4 linked regions of the Drosophila melanogaster genome follow. The protein of the gene in region 4 interacts with the protein of the main gene of each other region in a pairwise test. Each region holds a gene or a part of one and is shown on either strand. Other genes may lie near its edges. The genes, in order: Yp1, DNAlig1, CG14625 and Dip-B.

Region 1 (4,074 bases), on a different chromosome or scaffold from region 4:
CCTGCGCTGCGTTTGCTGCTCCTCGCTGGAACTCCTCTGGCTCTGCTCCTCGTTGGAGTAGTCGGTGGTCTCATAGGGCTGGAGGTTGTAACGCTGCTGGTAGGCCTGCACCAGCTTCCTGGTAGCCTTCTGCACTTGGGTGTTGGTCTCGGGCAGGCCCTGGATGAAGATGGTGACCTCATCGTCGCCGAACTTCTGCTGGCGCTTAACCTTCTCCACCAAAGTGTTCAGGTTGAACTCGATCTTCTGGCCGCGCTCGCCGACAATGTAGCCCCTGATCTGGCTGGGTTCCGGGGTGTAATCGGGCTTGAAGACATGGTTGAACTGGGACAGATGGTCTGCGGGATAGGATAGTGCGTGTAAATATAACATGATTGGTAGAACTTTTAGAGATCCTTGAACTTACAGAGCTTGTCCAACAGCGTAGCGCCCTCCTCCAGGCTCATCTCCTGCAGCTTCTTAAGGGTAACCTCCTTCAGGTTGGGCAGCTCCTCGACTTCACGTGGATTGACCCAGTTGCTGGGCTGCTCCACATTGTCCAGGGAGTTGGATCGGCGACCGGAACGGTTACCAGATTGGGGATTACCCATGGCGACCGCCAGAAGGCAGGCCATAACGCAAAGGGTGCGCAGAGGATTCATTGTGGCTTCCAAGTTCGACTTTTTCAGACACCGTACCAAATTGTACTGCATACCCACTGCTGCGACTCAATGCATTTTATACCCCTTGGAATCGGTAGTCTATACACACTATAATGCACGCGCCGGAAGCAATTGATTTCAGCAACCGATTTCTGGATCAGCACAAATGCATTGATTCGCAGCGTCAGTGATTTTGCAACACTTCTGATGAGCTCTAAAATTTCGTTCCCCTTTTTTTTTTTTTTTTTTGGTTATTAAGTATCCATCGGGTAACAGGTAATGGGAAACTTCTTTAACCAGCACTTTCATAACATAAACAAAAGGTGGTCTGGCCATTAAGGGGCTTGACAGTGGGGGCACGACTTGAACTCATGCACAGGTCAAGATAAAGCTTTTGTTTGAAAAAAATATTTGGCAATTTTGTGAAATTTATGCAACTATTTAAGTGTTTGCCAAAAGAATTGTCTAAATTGTTCTATAAGCAGATAGCACTTTCAGGGAAATGCAAAATAAATATATTATAAATTATAATATTATAAATATAAATATTTACATCTATCGAAATATACATATATTTTTAATAAGTAGAATGAGTTACATGAAATAGCATCGATAAGATCATATATTATAAAACGAATCCCGGATATTAAAATAGAATCTCCTTGAAAAACGTTCCCCTGAATCAATTCATTTCTAAAGTCCAAAAACAAATATAATCTTACTATCTTGCCTTGGAAACTACAAACATTCCATACTTTTCGTATCAATGGCAAACATCTAGGAATCAATGAACTGTATCGGCCTTGAATTGAAAATGCAAAATTATGGACTTTTAATTAAGCAGAAGAAAAGTGCCAAATATAAATCTACTTATAAACAAAAAAAATCAATAAAATGTTGTATATAATAACCAACTAATGCCCATGTTAGATCTATATTTTATGCATTTATTTGATCAAATCCGGTGCACAACTACAATGTTGCAATCAGCGGAGCCTACAAAGTGATTACAAATTAAAATAATCAGGCGGCAGCAGGTGCTGCTAAGTCATCAGTGGGGTCAGCTATAGGTAGGCCCCGTGTCTATTTTGTATGTATACAATTTATTCCGCTATCGATAGCATATACACTCATCCGATTCCCAGGCACCCGAAAACCCTTACTCAGCACAAGTGACCGATTAAGGCCTGAGCCAGCGAAAAGCGAGTCAGAAAATGGGAAATCGCTCAGCGCAAATTGTGGTATATAAACCACCATCGTTGGATTTGGAAGGCCAGTTCAACTCACTCAGTGTTGAAGTCGCATCCGCAGGACCAAATCCCAAATCCGAACCATGAACCCCATGAGAGTGCTGAGCCTTCTGGCTTGCTTGGCGGTCGCCGCCTTGGCCAAGCCCAATGGCCGTATGGACAACTCCGTCAACCAGGCATTGAAGCCGTCGCAGTGGCTCTCCGGATCCCAGCTGGAGGCCATTCCCGCCCTCGACGATTTCACCATTGAGCGTCTGGAGAACATGAACCTGGAGCGTGGCGCCGAGCTGCTGCAGCAAGTCTGTGAGTAATCCTAGATGCAGATAAAAAAAAAAAAAAAAAACATCGAATATTCTATGGAATATATATATCCTTTGTAGACCACCTGTCGCAGATCCACCACAACGTTGAGCCCAACTATGTGCCCAGCGGCATCCAGGTCTATGTGCCCAAGCCCAATGGTGACAAGACCGTTGCTCCCCTGAACGAGATGATCCAGCGCCTGAAGCAGAAGCAGAACTTTGGTGAGGATGAGGTGACCATCATTGTGACCGGACTGCCCCAGACCAGCGAGACCGTGAAGAAGGCGACCAGGAAGCTGGTTCAGGCTTACATGCAGCGCTACAATCTGCAGCAGCAGCGCCAGCACGGCAAGAACGGCAACCAGGACTACCAGGATCAGAGCAACGAACAGAGGAAGAACCAGAGGACCAGCAGCGAGGAGGACTACAGCGAGGAGGTTAAGAACGCCAAGACCCAAAGCGGCGACATCATTGTGATCGATTTGGGCTCCAAGCTGAACACCTATGAGCGTTATGCCATGCTCGACATTGAGAAGACCGGCGCCAAGATCGGCAAGTGGATCGTCCAGATGGTCAACGAGTTGGACATGCCCTTCGATACCATTCACCTGATTGGCCAGAATGTGGGTGCCCATGTTGCCGGTGCCGCTGCCCAGGAATTCACCCGTCTCACCGGACACAAGCTGCGCCGTGTCACCGGTCTGGATCCCTCCAAGATCGTGGCCAAGAGCAAGAACACCCTGACCGGTCTGGCTCGCGGTGATGCTGAATTCGTTGACGCCATCCACACCTCGGTCTACGGCATGGGCACCCCCATCCGCTCCGGTGATGTTGACTTCTATCCCAATGGACCTGCCGCCGGTGTTCCCGGAGCCAGCAACGTGGTGGAGGCCGCCATGCGTGCCACCCGCTACTTCGCCGAGTCCGTGCGTCCCGGAAACGAGAGGAGCTTCCCCGCCGTGCCAGCCAACTCCCTGCAGCAGTACAAGCAGAACGATGGATTCGGCAAGCGTGCCTACATGGGCATCGATACCGCTCACGATCTCGAGGGTGACTACATTCTGCAGGTGAACCCCAAGTCTCCTTTCGGCCGCAACGCACCCGCCCAGAAGCAGAGCAGCTACCACGGTGTCCACCAGGCGTGGAACACCAACCAGGACAGCAAGGACTACCAGTAAGGATGAGTCTGCTTACTCTGGACACCTGGAATGGCAACTACCAAACAACAAACAACCACCCAACCACACAAACACTGTAGTCCCTAAGTTGAACCCATATTGGCCCTTTTCTTGAGATTACCTAAACATTTAACGAGCACATCGCGAAATTCAGCAAATAAACGCTCGATAAAGAGCTTAAAAATATCTATTTTGTTTATCTTAAATCATTTAGGAACTATAATAGTCTAATAGATCATCCCAAAAAAAAGGGAACAAAATCAAAAGTAAATATCGTAGTTTGGTTTTGTAAACTTAGATTTATTTTATTGTTGTCGGTGTTTTTGTGGTGTTGAGGTCTAATCTTCTCCACTTATGGCTTGGGCTCAGATTAGAAAATAATTTGTTTACGGTAATTTGGGGGGAGTATTGCTCATGGGAGGCTGGCGTTATAACAATAAACCTCAACATGAAGCGATAACAATTAGAAATACAGCCAAGAGTTTAGGATCAGGGCTTAGGCGAGAGACTTTTGCTTATTTAAACTTCCACCTATTTAAATAGGATGTTTCCATCTTCTGATTTTTAGTTTCAATCTTCGCTTAGTTAAGTGCACATTCCGAATTGTTAGAAATATTAATACTATATACTTGTTGGTAGCTCTAGCATATCAATGCAAAATATTGTTGGAACCAAGGAGTTCGGGCCAAGTTGGGCCACAAAA
Region 2 (4,778 bases), on a different chromosome or scaffold from region 4:
GACGTGCCATCCACTTCTAACGCTGCGGAGGCCTCGAAAGAAAAGCCTGCGACTGAAAACACCGAGACACCAGAAGCTGCTGTCAAGGTTTTTACACCGGCTGCCAGAGGTGGTCGCAAGGAAAAAAGAACCGGCGCAGACAAGCAGCCAGCAGGTTCCGCCCACGAAACTGCAGAGGAAGCCATCAAGGCTGCTCAATTTCGAGCTTCAGAGGAGCGGCGCATTCGGAATAAAGTGGGTCTCACCTATTACCCCCCTCGACATTTTACTAACCCGCTTGATGTTTACAGGATCGACCATCGATTGCCATTTACCAGCCCAAAGCCCGAATTCGTGCATCAGATGAGCTGCCCCAAGGTGCAGGCGGCAAAGATGGCTCGGATGGAGAGGCTTCCGTGGTGGAGGAGAAGACTTCGAAGAGGAACAAACGCCCCAATCGGCGCAACAAACCCAAACCGAAGGAGGTGAAGGAGTGTGAGCTCGAAACTCGTCGCTTCTCCAAATCCTCCGAGAGCAGCACCAGCGTCAAATAGCGATAACAGACTTTTATTGTTAAATAAATCGTGTACACATGGCTGGAGCAGACCGGTCAGTAGAACTCGTCCTCCATCTCCATTTGTGTGCTCGACTTTTGATTATTTTTAACCTGATCCTGCGACTGGTACATGTGGGCCACCTGATTGGCGTCCGTTGCGTTTTCGCTATTCTTGTCGTCGCGTATCCGAATGAACCGAGGGAATCTCAAGGAAATGCCCCGCTCTCCGTCCACAATGCCAATGGCTGCTCGGTGGATCGGACTGAGCGACAGATCCGCGCATTTGACTTCCCACACCTGGACCGGTTCAAACCAGTGATCGGGCTCCAGGCTGGGGTCGTATCTGTAGTAGGATTTGGCGGCGCTGGTCACATGTTTGCCCAAAAACTCGGAATGCGTTTGCAGGTCCTCATCAGTGAAGCCAGTTCCAATCTTGCATATGCTCTGATACTCCTCGTTTTCGGTGTCATAGCAGGCAAGCAAAAATCCTCCGTAGGTTCCAGTTCGCCGGCCCTTGCCTTTGTAGCCACCAATGACCACCAAATCGAGTGAGTCGCCCACATTGGATAGGTAGTCCTTCTTCAATTTCAGCCAGTTGCGGGATCTCTTGGCAATCTCATAGGTGGCCTCCTCATCCAATGTTTTGACCATGAGGCCCTCGCAATTTCCTAGTGAAATAAAGCTTAAGTAAACAACTTTTAGGTTGGTTGGCAGGGCAAACCTTTGATAGACTCCTCCAGGAACTGCTGCACTTCGTCTATGTCATTGGTGTCCAGAGCAGTGGCGAACTTCCACTCGCCCTCGACCTCTTGAAAGTGCTCCAACAGGAGCTTGCGACGCTCCGACAGGTTTTTGGTCACCAGAGCAGTGCCATTGATGTACAGCAGATCGAAGATGTAGACACAGACTTGGACCTTGATTTCCTCGATATCAACGTTCTTCCGTTTGCGCGTGCTGAGCACCTGAAACGGCAGAATCTGCTTGCGCTCCACATCCCAGGCCACAATTTCGCTGTCTATGATGTAGGACTTTACGTCGCCCTTGAGCAAGGCAGTGCTCCTGGCAATCAAATCCGGATATTTTGCCGTGTTGTTCTCGGAGTTGCGCGAGAATATGCTGATCTCCCCCTTCTCGTTGCGGTGGATTTGGGCCCGCTCTCCATCGTATTTCCACTCGCAGGTGATTTGCATGCCGCCGAATCTCTCAAATACCTCATGGACCCCCTTGGTGGGCTGGGCGAGCATGGGCCTCAGCGGCATGCCGGGATGCATGGGGCAGCGTTCCTGCAGCTCCTTAATATCGTACTTTAGAATGGCCGGTATAATGATATCGTAGTTGGGACACTGACTGCAAAAGTTCGTTAGCATCTGAATTATTAGCTGGTTCTTAAGTTAGTTCTTACCAGTATGCAGTTTTCAACAGCAAAGTGGTGTCGACTATTTCATCCTTATACACATCCGGCACCTTGCTAGCCTTGCAATCATCGATGTGGTTCTTTTTCACCAAACCAATGGCCAGCGCTGTGAGCAAACTCTGCTCTGCAATGCCAATTCTTAGCTTGCCAATCAATGAACGGATAAAGAAGCGAGCCTCCGACGATCGACAGGCCACAAACATATTGTACACCAGGTCCATTTTCGACTGACCGGATAGCTTGGCTATTTCGCGTAGCTTCCGGAACACATCCCTCACATTCAGAGGCGCTGGCTGGAACATCATGCGCTGTGAAACGCGCGACTGCTCGGCCACGATGCCCAGATCCCCGGTTAGCTGCGTCTGCGATTTAATGTGAGCCAAATTACGCCCCGTTGCCTTGCAAATGGCCTTCATCAAGGTGGTCTCGGCAACGCCCAGCTCCAGTCCCTCGTAGGCGGGCGCCAGTTGGTTGATGCTGAGGTAGACGCTGGGCACAAGATCCTCCGGACTGACCAGCATCACAGAGCAGAAGAAGTTGCTCAGCGTGTCGATCATCTTGAGCCGGCCTTTGGTCTCCTCGATTACTTGAAATGTGCGGGCCAGTGCCAAGTAGGGAGTGCTGGAAAGTGTTTCCTTTGATATAATTCGCCTTGGAGGCTCAAAATCCTGCACTACTTACACCTTTTTGTCCTTCCAGTAGGCATTCTTGAGCGGATGATAGGAGTCGGCGGATGGATCGTAGTTTTCCACATCCTCCTTAGTAGCGGCAGTGGAGTTGAGACCTATGGTTGTGACCTTCTTGTCAGTGGTCTTGTCATCGACTTCCTTTGGTTCCTTCTTAACATTTTTCACCGGACTTGTCTTCTCCTCGGAATCCACAGACATAGGTTCTACCTTGGGCTTAGTTTCCGGGGAGGCACTTTCGCTCTTGATGTGGGGTTCATCTGGGAGTTCGGTCTTCGCATCAATCCTATGATTTGTCGAGGAATTTAGTAATGAAACAAGAAAACAGCGGCACCATTTACTTAGGAACTTTCTTGGGCGGCGAGGGGCTGTCGGTGGCATCGGATTTCTTCTTGAAGAAGGAGCTGAAACGGGGGATTGTTAGATTGGCAATACTTAGCATTTGTTAAATCGTAAATTACGTTATAGACTTTTGCATTTTGTGGCAATTCTGTGTTCAAATAAATACAAATTGCAATGCAATTAGTTCCCGCCAGTTTCTAGAGCTGGTCTTCAGTATCGATATATTGAAATGGAAATGCTATCGAAGTTGAAAATTTTATTAGTAAACATAAATTAAATGTTTATGCTACATAATTGAGAAATATTATTACGTACAATTGTGGCCATTTTTATATGCAAGTCAATCGACTTAATATTTCTCAAACAAATCATTAATAGACAAAAGGAAGAGTTTATTGTCATTCGGTGTGACCGCAGCACAGTCGTTGATAAACACGGGAAAACATCCACGGGGCAGTGTGACCAGAGCGCCGTTAAATTCACAAATAATTGCAATTCGCAATAGCACAGCCAAAACTGAAGATTACATACAATTTACAATGGCCGACGAGAGCATCACGCGAATGAACCTGGCGGCCATCAAGAAGATCGACCCGTACGCCAAGGAGATCGTGGATTCGTCCTCGCACGTCGCCTTCTACACGTTCAACTCGTCGCAGAACGAGTGGGAAAAGACCGATGTGGAGGGAGCCTTCTTCATATACCACCGCAACGCGGAGCCCTTTCACAGCATCTTCATCAACAACCGACTGAACACCACGTCCTTCGTGGAGCCCATCACCGGCAGCCTGGAGCTGCAGTCGCAGCCGCCGTTCCTGCTCTACCGCAACGAGCGCTCGCGCATCCGCGGCTTCTGGTTCTACAACAGCGAGGAGTGCGACCGCATCAGCGGCTTGGTGAACGGGCTGCTCAAGTCCAAGGATCAGGGAACGAATGGCCAGGCCCAGCGTCACGTCTCCGCGCCCCAGCAGCCAAAGCAGGACAGCAGCCAGCCGGCCAGCATATTCAACATGCTGACCAAGGCCCAGAAGGACTACAATGCCCAGGTGAGCGGCGGGCAGCCGAAGACGCCTTCGGCGGAGAACGTAACGGCCGGCAATGTGTTGAAGTTCTTCGAATCGGCCAAGCAGGCCACGGCAGAGTCACTGTTCCACCGCGTCCAGCCGCTCTCCGTGGACCAGCTGGAGAAACAGCAGCGGGCAGCCACGCCTGGCGAGGATCTGTTGCCCCCGGCAGGCAGGGACAATCACGAGAGCCGGCTGTCGCCCTTCCAGAAGATGCAGCAGCTTAACATTCAGCTCCTGAGCGACCTGAAGATCGGTAAAAGCTACGCTACGGCTCAATCTCCGACAGTCGCCCCGTCCTCGTCGGCGCTGATGGCCAACGACGATGCCGGCAAGTGCTTGCGGAGACTGCTGGCTGGCGACAAGCCCGGGCCGGCCCTCATGCCGCCCACCATGTTCGACGCGCCCAACAACGGCAATCCGGAGCCACAGCAGCCACAGCAGCCACAGCAGCCACTGCTGAACTCGACGCAGTTCGTCCAGGCCTTCACGTACCTTATCCAGAACGATAAGGAGTTTGCCAACAAGCTGCACAAGGCCTACCTGAACGGCTGTTCCAATCTACTGCTGGACTCCAGCTCCACATATCAATAAACAGAAATATTCAACATTTCCGAATTGCAGCCCATATTTTCATTTGTTCGCATGGAGTTCGAGTTCAAGCCGAGTTAATTTACAAAATGTAATAGCTGTAAGCCGACAAGGGCAGTCGTAGATTTAAAATCTAGAAGCCCCGC
Region 3 (5,927 bases), on a different chromosome or scaffold from region 4:
GGCCAGAACTTGCGTTTTTTAGCAGCAGAAGAGGTCACTTTTCAGATCTAAACGATCATCTTGAAAGAAAATACCAGCTCCGGCTATAAACAACTAATTGCTTTACAATGTGTGGCAGGGTGGGAGATGAAAGATGTAAGCAATCCGATCCACAAACATAACATTTTTCAGCATTGTCGAAGCGTTGCAGCTGCCACAGTGCAGCAAAGGCAATAGGAAAGTTAAAGAAATAAATAAATGCTGATCGGTGTATGAAGATGTATGAGATGAAGAACTTAAATACATTTACGATACATTTCAAGCCGCAGTTAAATCTTTGATTGAATTAGTTAAATTGAATTAAAAACCCAATCCTTGGCAAATCAATTGGTATTGAGACTGTTCATCTGGTGCGGCTGCCACAGCTGTTTCTTTGGCAGCTGGCAGCTGGTAGTGGATTTGGTAGTTTCTGCAGTTTTTGGCCGCATAACGGGGCATGGATAGCCATGGCTATATGTATCTATGTACCTATGGCAATCGCACTCGACTGCTGACAAGGTTGTTGATCTGCACATATGTGGAGGAGCCGAAACGCTTTGCCAGCTTTGTTTTGCTTTGCTTTAGCCGCTGCAAAGTTGTTTCGCTTTTATTATTACGGCTATTATCGTTAGTGTTAAGTGTGGCAATTGTTTCATTTTCAGTTTCAGTTTCGTTTTTCGCTTCTCATGCAGAATATTAAAATATAAATCATACGCCCTGTGGGCCAGCGCCATAGTCCGCAATAAAGAAATCCCCGGCCAGCACGTAAGGGAAATCAATGAAATGCCAATTGGCAAGTTATTCCAAGGCGTACTCCCAGTTCTCTAAGTCCGGATCTCTTTATCGAAATTGAAATCATCGCTGTTGGTTTTCGGCAACGGCAATTGCTGCTGCTCTTTCGGTAAAATCATCATAAATCAGCGAACACTTTTCTCCGTTTGTCTGGGCTCCTTGTTAATTATTATGCACTGAATCAGTGACCATGAAGCCAACCACCGAGTGAAGATCTGCCACGACCAACCACCGACTGCCCGCAATGTAAACACTGTGAGAATACAGCAAATGGGGAAATTTAAGAATACATAAAATAAGACAGATCTAGTGTTAATGGATTTGTTTCAAGTTTAATTTAAAGGGTGCTAAAGGCTCCCTGTCGAGTCATTGGACTTGCAAAAGTCCTGCTGCTTTCCGGACTCCACTCCAGAGTGGGTTAGTGACTACTGCCCGTTGTCCACTATTTGTCGTTTAACCCAATAAATGCCTTCGGTGGCGAGGATTTTACAAGTCAATTACGGGTATTACCCACCTGTGCCGGCAAACATTTCATTGAACTGCCTGTGGTGGAATGGGGATTGTTTGGCTTAGCTTATGGCTTAATTGGCCATCAAAGTGGCAGCTTAAACAGAGGCCGAAACTGAAGCCAAGAAACTAAAAACTATAAACCAGTTGTCCCGTTGTCCTCTCTCTTTCGTGCTGGCCTATCGCCTTCTCTGTTGCACCTTATCGACTTATAATGGGCGAACTTATCACGCATACGCCGTGTTGTGCGTCGATGGCTTATTACGATTCGAATTGTCATCGAAAGTGAAGCGATCTTTCTCCCCTTCTCTATCTCCAACTGTCTCTCTCTCTTCGCTTGCACTTGCACTTTTCTCGCTTTTCTTTGGCGCGCACATTCGCATAAATTTTCCGCTGCAGCGGTTCGCATCATTATAAAAGCCTCGCCTCGACAGCTGGCCGCTAACAATTCCAGCTGAGACTCTGGCGCGCCATGATGTCAGCGCTCACATCTCGATTCCGTAATCTTCAATATCAGGAGCACCACCTTGTCCATATGGGAGCAAACATTCTCAGCCGGCGGCAATGGTGCCTGTGTCTGCTGATCATCGTAAGTAGTGCGCTCACGTCCAAGGATTCGGATAATTCGATTCACGAGGAGTACCTTTTTTTTTGGTGGCCAGTGATCCAAAGTGTAGTGATGTATTTGAAAATTCATAAATGTTGGACTCGAGAGAATCTCCAGAAGTAAAAAAACAGCCCATTTGAAAATGAGATTTTTTTTATTTAATAATTCAGTGAAGAAGAGTGATAAATTTGTAAAAAATATAAATAAATATGTAAAAAAATATATATAAATGTATCTTACGATAAAAAACGAAAATAAGTGAAAAAAATATGTAAAAATACTCAATTAAAACTTTTTAAAAACATTAATATTTGAATCTTCAGTAATGAACTGCTGAAGCTTATCCCGCTAAAATTACATTTCGGAACATAACACCAAATTTTTAAACAAAGACCAAAAAGATTAGCCTTTTTGGGAAAATATGTCCCGAATGACTGAGAATTACGTTTTTGATACATAATCGCCAAATTCTTTTCCCATTTCGATCGAAAAGGATCCATTTGGCGATTCGCAATTGCGTGCTGCGGGTTTTTCATGCCGGTGTGTCATTGCCCTCTCCTCTGGAAAACGGTCCATTGAACTTGGCCAACTGAGCGCCGCCAACTCAATCATACAGAAATTGACTATCAACCGCCTCCTCCTTCTCCTTTTCTTTCTCTTCTCCTCCTTGAAAGCGAAAGCGAATTGGCGGAGTTTAATTAGTTTAATTGCGAAGTAGGCACAAGCCAATGAGTCTGAAACGAAGAGGCCAATTTAAGGCAGTTCGCCTAACTAGCACCCGTTGAAATGGCACACTCATCAGTTGGCCAAGGTTCCTTGTTTGTCCTATCGTTTTACTCATTTTATTTTAATGTACGGTTTTTATTGTAAGCCATGCGAATCTCCGATTATGTAATTTTCAAATAGCTGTGATTCTTTCTAATTTCTCTGAACAGATGTCGACGCTTTGCAGTGCCGTGACTGTGACCTCAGGCACGTCTGGGAACAGTCGCCGTCGATCGGGAGGTTCAGGAGCGGTGTCCTCTTTGGAGGTGACTGGGGAGAAGGCCTTTCCCGATCAACTGGCTATGGCAGCTAGCCGTAGGGGCTCCGACGATCGTGGTTACTCCAGGCGGGGATCGGTTACACAAAGCAGATTAAAGGAGGCGCCCAGCAAAGGTAATAAACCGTCCCATTTTGTTTGGCAAGCCTAAAAGTATGCACTAATCCGCAATCGACATGCATTGTATACTTCCCAGATTACAGCTTTGGCCAGGTGGAATTAAATCTCGTTCGCCCAGAGCACGAATCGCATCCAAAGCAGACCGCAGAATCCGGATCCGGAGCGTATGTCAACCTAGAAGACTCTAAATCGGCAGCCGAGTATGTGGCCAATGCCATCAAGTTGGCCTACAAACAGCCACCGACTCAACTGCGAGGTCAAAGCCAAGTTCAGAACCCTAGCAACAACCACATCCAGGCGCAAAAGGAACAGCAACCTACCACCCAGAGAAGTTACCAGGAACAGAGAAGGGATAGGGAGATCCTGGAGATGCAATTGCAGAAGGAACTGCATCAGCAGGCCCTGCTCCTGTCCTCAGGACCCTCGTCGCCATCCTCGTCTGGATCGTCGTCCTCCTCTTCTCCGCCGTCGCCCGCCCTAGCGCCTGCGCCAGTCTACGAAAAGGAACCCGTGACCCGGAGCTATGAACTCTACGAACACGCAACCGAGGACGAGTCCCATGTCCAGGCCCAAGAGCAAGACATCGAACGCCACTATCGTCCCAAGTACAGCAATAACTACAACAACATCTACGCCCCCTATCAACCGCCGCAAATTTACAGAAATCTCGAGGCCGAGGCCGAGGAAAAAGTCAGGGTCTCTGCCTCCACGGAAATTCCCAAATCGGAGATAATGAAACAGATTGAAAAGTCCGTGATCAAGTACATGAAGGAACTAGAGGCCGAAGGTAAAATCATAAGTACGCCCCAAGAGACGGCCACGCCTCCTCCACCACCACCGCCTCCGCCGATTACCAAGACCTACTACAAGTCGCAGACGCTCTCATCTGGTCTCCATTCCGGTTCCATTCCCTCGTCGCACTCGCATTCACACTCGGAGGAAAAGCGTTACAGCAGCAGTACAGTGAGGCCCAAGTATACGGTCCCACCAACGACAAAACAACAACAGTTGCATCACCACCAGCAGCAGGTGCTCCACCCACAGCACCACAGCCACCAAATAGCCGGAAAACTGAGGGGCTCTTCATTGGCAATAACGAATTCAAAGCCCATTCAGCACTTTCAGTCCGAAACGGAAACGGCATATCAGGCCCCCGATTTGCCCGTCGACGAACTGAGTCCGAATGTGGAGTTTATTTACAAAATCAAGACCCGAGCTCCCCTGCAAACGGCCACAGTGAAGACGGTTTCGAAGCCCTACACTTTGCCTCTGAAAAGTGCCGAGCACTTTGACCACAGTGCGGCCCTCAAGAACATCGAAGAATTCGATCTATCCCACGTAGTTCCCACTCCAGATCGAGTGGAACGGGAGCGGGAAAGGGAAAGGGAAAGGGAGCGTGATTCTCGGGAAGATCAGGAGAGGCTTACAAACTCTGGCAAGCAGCACAAGTTGTATTTCAATTCGGAAATCTATCATGACATCAATGCCTTGCCCTACAAAAGTAAAGAGGCAGCTCTGCAGGAATATCGCCACAAGCTCAAGGCTTCCGGGTCATCCGGGGAACTGCATCCGGACTACAAAGGCTACTCCTCATCCGGTTACTTTGCCGAGCCGGAAGCAGAGACTGAGAATGAATCAAAACTAATCCTTAACGAAGAAGGCTATCCCTATCATTATGTGCTGAAGAAGGAAACCCTACTAGATGATCATGAGCCCTGGTTGTCCCACGCGCACGGCCACGCCCACCAGCACACCCATGGCCACGCCCACTCGCACAGCAACAGCAACAAGCACCCGAGTCTTGAATACGACAGCTACAGTCCGAAGTTCAACAACAATCCCGAGGGCTACGGCTATCAGCACACGTACAAGGTCAGAGGTCAACCAGCAGGCGGTGCCGGGTCGGGGGGCGTGGCTGGCATAGGCAGTAACACGGGGACCGGAGCTGGAAAGCGCGGCAAGCGGGGGGGAGGCGGTCATCCCAGACAAGAGGCGATTAAGAAGCAACTGCGCTCATCGGAGGTCAAGGACTTGGAAGCCAGTTTGGCTCTGAGGCCACCGCCCAAATAGTAAACCCCATCCCTCGATTAATCAATCGAATAAGCCGCAAAACTCCACCACCACCCTCATAGCTTATTTTATGCCAGAATTTCGAGCATGCTTCATTGTATATGCTATTGTCTTTTTTTTGTAGAATCTAAGTGTAAGTACGATTATTTATTGTATGGCCACCAACTGCTGAAGTGGTAGCCAACTAAAACAGACGATAACAAATTACGCCAATAAACAAATTAATGAAATAACTTAAAATAAAAACTATCGCTTATCCATTGACATTTTTAAATAGCTCAAGACTTCATTCCATTATCATGATAGCCCCATGAACTAGATTTTCTATATCTATCCAAAAATTCGAACTGCTTGGAAAAGTGCGAATGCCGCCTCTGTTGATCAGTTTTTTTTTTTTAGTTTCGATTTTTATTCGTCTCATTTCTTCGCTCTATGTGTGGGTGTGAGTGTTTGAGTGTGTGTGTGTGTGATGTAATTAATAATTTTAGCGCACAATTATAAGGCAGCCGCCCACATCCACCCAATGAACGAACTGATTGAAACATCCAGAGATTCAGCCTCGGATTGGGTAAGTCACAGTAAAAGTGCCTCCTCTTTTGCAATTTAACTCTTTCTCTTGGTGGAAGTACATCCACCGCATTTGCATTCTGGTTTTATATAGGAACACAAGTTGTACGGGTAAGAATCTGTTGTAAATGGCAGAAAAGAGTGTCAAATGTGTTGTTACGTGAGATTTGGACGATTAATCGCCAGCCCAGCGGCCACATTGTC
Region 4 (5,935 bases):
ACGGGAGCCAACGGTATATTATGCAATCACAGCATGAATGAGACACTCTTGACCGAGTTTCCAAAGCCAGGCAATAACGGTACCAAGACACATGCGACAGCTGACAAGCGGGCCCCATCCACATCCCCATCCCCCAACCAAGCCAATCCACGCCAAGTTGCTGGGCCAAGCTCCCGGGAACGGGGCCCAAAGCGAAGAGCATGGCCAAGAAGCGACTAACGGGTTCTAGGCTGTGGGCCAAGCTACAAAAAAAGAAGGCGCTGCAAAGCTGAAGAGAAAAGGCTGCGAAAGGGGAAGAGCAGGAGTACGAGCCATACCGTAGATGGCCAACAAGAGCTCGAAATGCAGGGCACCCGCCAATTATGCAAACAATGCAGCTGGGAAATGCAGTAATAATAAAAAAGAAATAAAAAAGACCGAATACCCACGCGGCTTTCTTGTATACTTAACAAATATATGTAGGGTGGTTATTCTCTATAATGGGATGATATAATGTTTATATTTCCATGTTGATGAATATAATGAGATATTTGCTTTGTAAGCTTAAGGAAAAAAACAAATCATTTTCACATTTATTTGTAAACGATTACCAAATTAGTGACATACATTTATGAATACAATCTGAACTCGGTTTTGCCTTTATTAAAAAACAGTGATGCAGTTAGTAGGATAATATTGTTGGTTAGCTAAGCACGTGGGTGTATAAGTACTGTTTGTGGTGATCGTGTACACATCCTCCTGAATATTAGGTGGACATGATTTACTTCTGCAGATGGGTCTTCACCAGGGAAACAAGAGGGGCAGCTGTGGGCATCGCTGGGTGCTCACCGGCACTGCCGGCGATATCAATATGGGTGTACTTAATGGGCAGCATTGAATCCAACCCGTGTTTGTCCAGTCCAGAAGCCTTAATCATAAAGGCGGCGGGCACCTGGTGACCGCGAGGAGTCCTCACCGACGGGGCATTATTGGCCTGCACCAAATCCTCGCCAATCACCTTTCCAGCGTTAAAAGAGAAGTCACTGGGACGGAGAATGGACACTTCGAAGGGCTCTCCGAAGGCCTGTCCAGCAGCCTGCAGTCTTCTGGCGTGATCCTCCCGATGGGCCACGCTGTTATCGATGGCAATCGACTGACCCTCACCTGCCGAGATGAAGGCGTGACCAGTCAAGGTGGCAATGGTGAAAAGATGCGGATCCGGGAGATTCTGCTCCACGACCAACTCCTTCATGCGGCACAGGGCATCGGTCATGCACATGCGACCCTCGGCATCAGTATTTCCAATCCTCACATGAAGACCAGCTCGCGAGGTGATAACCTCATCGGCCACGTAGCACTCCTCGCCCACGGAATTGCGCACCATGCACAGGGCAGCCACAACATGGATATCATCCGGTTGCAGTTGACTGACCACCTGCATGAATCCAGCGACAGCAGCCGCTCCACACTTGTCGCGCGACATACCGGCCATCACACCACCGGCCTTGATGTCAGCACCACCGGTGTCATAGGTAACACCCTTGCCGACCAGCATCAGAGTTTTTCTCGCCGGCTTTGGAGGCTTGTACTCCAGGAAAATGATGCGACCACGATGACGCTCCACTGCATCAGCAGCCCGGTTTACGGCGGCAAACAGGGGATACTCCTTCTGCAACACCTGGGTGTCACTGATCACATTCACGTTGAGCTTGTCGAACAACGGCTTGATGTACTTCTCCACCTGGATGGGCGTCATGCGCTCCGGGTCCCCAACTCCGATGTCGCGGGCCACAAAGCGACCGGCCTCCAGAATGAGAGCTTCCTGGAAAATAGCTTCGGCCCTTGGATCATCGATCTGGACACTGAGCGTGGTCACACGGGGGTCCTTCAAAGTTCCTGCCTCGCGCAATTGAATGGGCTAAAAAACGTGTTTTAGCACATTGATTGAAATAAAAGTAAACATAATCCATATTACCACATAAAGCTGCTCCAGAGCTCCCAGAACGGTGCAGAGTTCGACCTCGGGGAAGCGCTTAACCTTGGGCACAAACAGCAACGGCGTGTGGAATCCAGCCTGGCAAAGAATACATATACATTTTCTTTCATAATTCACACAATATGTATAGAAAAAAAAAACCCACCTTGAGAACCTTCTCCATGGACCGCTTGGCCGCCTCCTGGTAGCTCCTCACATCGTCGTAGTCGGTGAGCTCGGAGACGGGGGCATAGACCACAGGTTGATCCACGTTGGGCACCTTAAAGCAGGATATGCTGCTGTCGAAGGACTTGTCGAATTTGCGGTGCTCCTCGAAGGTGGCCTTCAGTTCATTGGGAACCGCATTGCGATCGATGATGCACAGGCAGTCGTTGCCGGCCAGACTCATCAGCTTGTTCAGCCGGAGGGTGCATGGTAGAATTCTGGAGGGGCACACGTAGAGTAGAGTTAAAGTGCGCAACGGAATCGTTATTGGTATTCATTAAGAAACATTTCTGGGTGTCAACTAAATGTGCAATAGCGTTTAATTGAATTGAATTTTATCACGTCACATTTGCTTTATTAACTGATGCAGTCGTTCATATTGCATAACAGCCTGTTGCCTTTGTATTTCAATTTATTATTTCAAAAGAAAATGTCCCCACTGTATTAGGAGCAACCATGGCCATGTTTCAGTGTGTTCCCCTTTCGTTTACCCTCATTCCTGGCGCTGGGCTTATCTTAACTCGAAGTGCTATAAAGAATCGCGATAAGCTTTCGAAATGACCATAATCACAAACCGATTTCCAATTTAGAAACAAGTGTACCAAGTATTAGCACAAATGGTGTTAAAGTACTTATTTAGAATATTTGTAATCTTATTCAAGTGTTTCTACTAAATACCAATCCTTAGGTAACTGGGTCTATAATATTTTGGAGAATAATCCTATGTCGCTGACCATTTAATTGTGTTATCTTTTGAAGTGCCCCATATCAAACAATAAAAGTTGATCTATATATATCTGTTTCCAGAAGTAGCAAGAACTCGTTATCTAAGTAATAATGATAAAATTAAGTGACCTCCCCCCTTTAACTTTTATACAGTATTTCGCCAAACATTGTTTTTATTTTGGGAAAAGATAAAGTTTGGAATTTTCATGACATCTATTCCTTGCCGGCAACTAATTAAAACTGATAAACGCTGAGATATGCAGTACTAAAAACATTCTAATTTCGTTTTGGAATTATGGGAAAGGTAAATAAGATAGCAATTGATGGATGCTAAGCGACTAACCCTCACTGTAAAAGATGGCGAATCTTTGAGAGCTTTTCCAATCGGTCGCTAAGCGGTGGCTAGATAACTGATCCGCGCTAACTTAAAACACACCCTCTAATAACTGTTGGTAATAAATACTCACTTTTCGATACCCATGATGAGTACTTTTTCGCAGGCAGCTCACGCGACTTGGTTGATCGGCAAGTGGGGCGTCACTGAACCTCCCTGATGGGAACAAAGCGCTGCAGCTGGAAACTGGAAACTTGGGAGCGGGATCTGGAACGGAAAGCTGGCGATAAGGAGCGATTGTGATAGCTCTCCGCGACGATTTGCAATGTTCTGGCTGGGTGGCCAAGCTTTTTATACATTTTACTAGCGAGCCGGGCTTTAGGTTTTTTTTTTTTAATTGCTACTTGCGTTTTCGAATGAAAACAAATCGCACGAGCGATGAATAATCGCCAGTATGCTCGCTATGTACGTAATTCTAGAACTCGGATATAACTTGTAAACAATAAAGGCAAAGTCTACTCACGTCGCTCGGTCTTCGGAATTGTTATTGTGGGTTCCTCTTGCCAGTCACGTCCACGGTGGATGCAGTTTCTGGGCCAAAACTAACCAGTGGCAAAAAACAAAGGAATGGCAACCAGGTTTTTTTTTCACAGTAGACCAGCCGGCATGTGCGAAGCTTTCAAATGCCGGCCAAGTGACAGCTGTTTGTGGTTTGCCCGCGTTGCCAATTGTCATAAAGGATGTGGAAAGCTTTCGGTTCGAATTTTTGATACTCTTTGTATGGGACTACAAAGAAATAGAAGCTTATCGGTCGTTAGAGACCGGACATTATTACTTCTTAATTAGATATTTGTCGGGGTGTTATATTAAGGCCAAATAACACAGCAGTTTTAAATGTAAAAAATATTTATTCGCCATTAATAAAGCGTTGTATATCGTCAATAAGCTGCGGAAGTTTTTTGGCCTCCAGGACCAGGAGTTTCCTGTAGGGCGTCATCACGGCATCGCCTTCCAGCCAATCGCCAGACATGCCCGAATCGGTTTCAGAGGCCATGGAATACTCGAAGGAGAACTTAGCCCGATCCGAAAGCAACTCATCCTCAGCGTTGGTGTACACGTCCTCGCCCGGTTTGCCCTTCTTCGACTCTTTCCTGTAGAACTTAACCAGCAGCAGCAGAGTGCCAAAGTCGTATTTCATTTTCTTGGCCTTGGCGGCTTCGATTTCTTGCTGCAAACTCTGCAGCAGTGGCACGGAGATCTGGGCAGGGATATTGATAAAGCGCTCGTTGATCAAGAATCCCACATGGCGCTGCTCGCTGTCTAGAATCTCCTTCAACTGCTGCTGAACCTCCGGAGAAGCGTGCGTCTTGGCGCGATCCAGTATGTAGGTCCTTAACTGGGCGATGCTGGGCTGATCCTTTTTGGCGGTCAGGTTCAGCACAGAGGTGATTCCAAAGATGGTGCCATCCTCGACCATGTTGTCGTCCTCCGTTTCGCTTTCGGTGCCCTCGTCGTCGCACTGGCAGATCACACTGCCTATAAAATTTTGGGCTGGAAACAAAAAAAGTTGTGCTGATAGATAGATCAAGATAGTACCTTGGAGTGCTCACCTATGATCAAATCCGCCATTTGGTTGCAGTTGATGTGGGCACGAAGGAATAGTCGCTGCAGGAGTTGAGAGATTCCCTGGGCATCGGGATCTACTGGAGCTCGTCCCTCAAAGTCGATTTGCACCTCCTAGCCGGATATTAATTTTGAAACACATTTGCTTTTCATATTTTGGAGGCACTTAGATTACCTCGTTTCCCTTATAGGCATCTGGATGCGGTTCGTCGTCGTCATCATCCTCGCTGGAACTGGAGACATCCTCGTTGGGGTCCACCTCCATGGTACTCAATTTCTTTTGCTTATTAGCTGACATTTTTAAGATTTAGTTAACGAATTTGGTTTTGTTTCGCTTCCACTAAATTGCCGCCCGAACAGCTGTTTATCGTCCACACGTGTTGCATTGAGTTGCCAACTATTACGGAGCGTGCTGTTAAGTGGGCAGAGTTCTGTAAATGCACCGGAGTTAACAGGCTGTTAAGAAATAAAATTTACTGGAAATTAAATAGTAGACCCGACATTACATTTGACCATAAGTATTAACAAAATTCACAAGTTTCAGAAAATATTATTTGTGGTTTACTGTCAAAATTATTATTATTTAAGTCCTCATTGACTTTGAGCAATATAATATATGTATGAATCATTAATTTAAAATACAAAGGCCTTATAGAAGAAGCACAACAAAACAAGGGTCAAAATCACGCCTGAATCTCCTTATTTTTGTTTTGAGCGTGGTCCCCGGTGGACTCAATTTGAGGTAGACCTTCGTTTTTCGATTTTAGGCGCTCCTCATACTGCTCCTGGGTTAAAAGACTCGCCTTGATTGCATCGCAGTTTTCGATTTTGGGCAGAAGAATGGCGAAGTAGCCGGCTCCCTCGGGGAGTTGCTCCAGAAGCTTTGGCTCCTCCACAATGGCGGTGTTCACCTCTACCAGCTTGCCCCGAATGCAGCTGGGCACCTTGTAAGTCCCTCCATTTGCTGTGGTGAGCAGTGCCAAGGTGGACTCCGCCTGTAGGATCATTCCGCCCTTTTTACCCTTTCCCTTGACCACATTCTGGCTGCGATCTACGTTCCCTATATCAAAGTT

Evidence for each region.
Region 1: the proteins of Dip-B (region 4) and Yp1 interact in a two-hybrid assay, tested with the Drosophila melanogaster proteins (one large-scale study listed by BioGRID).
Region 2: the proteins of Dip-B (region 4) and DNAlig1 interact in a two-hybrid assay, tested with the Drosophila melanogaster proteins (one large-scale study listed by BioGRID).
Region 3: the proteins of Dip-B (region 4) and CG14625 interact in a two-hybrid assay, tested with the Drosophila melanogaster proteins (one large-scale study listed by BioGRID).

The regions. Positions count from the first base shown.
Region 1 is NC_004354.4:10,051,943-10,056,016, forward strand, and holds Yp1 (yolk protein 1), read left to right. Parts: upstream 1-1,868; 5' UTR 1,869-1,974; coding exon 1,975-2,194; intron 2,195-2,271; coding exon 2,272-3,371; 3' UTR 3,372-3,556; downstream 3,557-4,074. Other genes in the region: Yp2 (yolk protein 2), read right to left, coding at 1-338, 407-641. UniProt on the Drosophila melanogaster protein: Vitellogenin is the major yolk protein of eggs where it is used as a food source during embryogenesis. Along with Yp2 and Yp3, and their receptor yl/yolkless, required for maintenance of microtubule plus-end orientation towards the posterior pole of oocytes.
Region 2 is NT_033778.4:23,888,931-23,893,708, reverse strand, and holds DNAlig1 (DNA ligase 1), read right to left. Parts: upstream 3,198-4,778; 5' UTR 3,114-3,197; coding exon 3,097-3,113; intron 3,040-3,096; coding exon 2,977-3,039; intron 2,922-2,976; coding exon 2,631-2,921; intron 2,571-2,630; coding exon 1,938-2,570; intron 1,883-1,937; coding exon 1,257-1,882; intron 1,204-1,256; coding exon 590-1,203; 3' UTR 534-589; downstream 1-533. Other genes in the region: Upf3, read left to right, coding at 1-234, 291-533; DCP1 (decapping protein 1), read left to right, coding at 3,517-4,635. UniProt on the Drosophila melanogaster protein: DNA ligase that seals nicks in double-stranded DNA during DNA replication, DNA recombination and DNA repair.
Region 3 is NC_004354.4:1,197,766-1,203,692, forward strand, and holds CG14625 (uncharacterized protein), read left to right. Parts: upstream 1-1,780; 5' UTR 1,781-1,852; coding exon 1,853-1,906; intron 1,907-2,859; coding exon 2,860-3,082; intron 3,083-3,162; coding exon 3,163-5,156; 3' UTR 5,157-5,392; downstream 5,393-5,927.
Region 4 is NT_033777.3:13,780,279-13,786,213, reverse strand, and holds Dip-B (dipeptidase B), read right to left. Parts: upstream 3,927-5,935; 5' UTR 3,763-3,926; intron 3,575-3,762; exon of another isoform or gene 3,520-3,574; 5' UTR 3,387-3,519; coding exon 3,373-3,386; intron 2,398-3,372; coding exon 2,121-2,397; intron 2,054-2,120; coding exon 1,955-2,053; intron 1,898-1,954; coding exon 761-1,897; 3' UTR 538-760; downstream 1-537. Other genes in the region: CG9286 (uncharacterized protein), read right to left, coding at 4,147-4,790, 4,850-4,976, 5,038-5,160; CG9288 (uncharacterized protein), read right to left, coding at 5,546-5,935.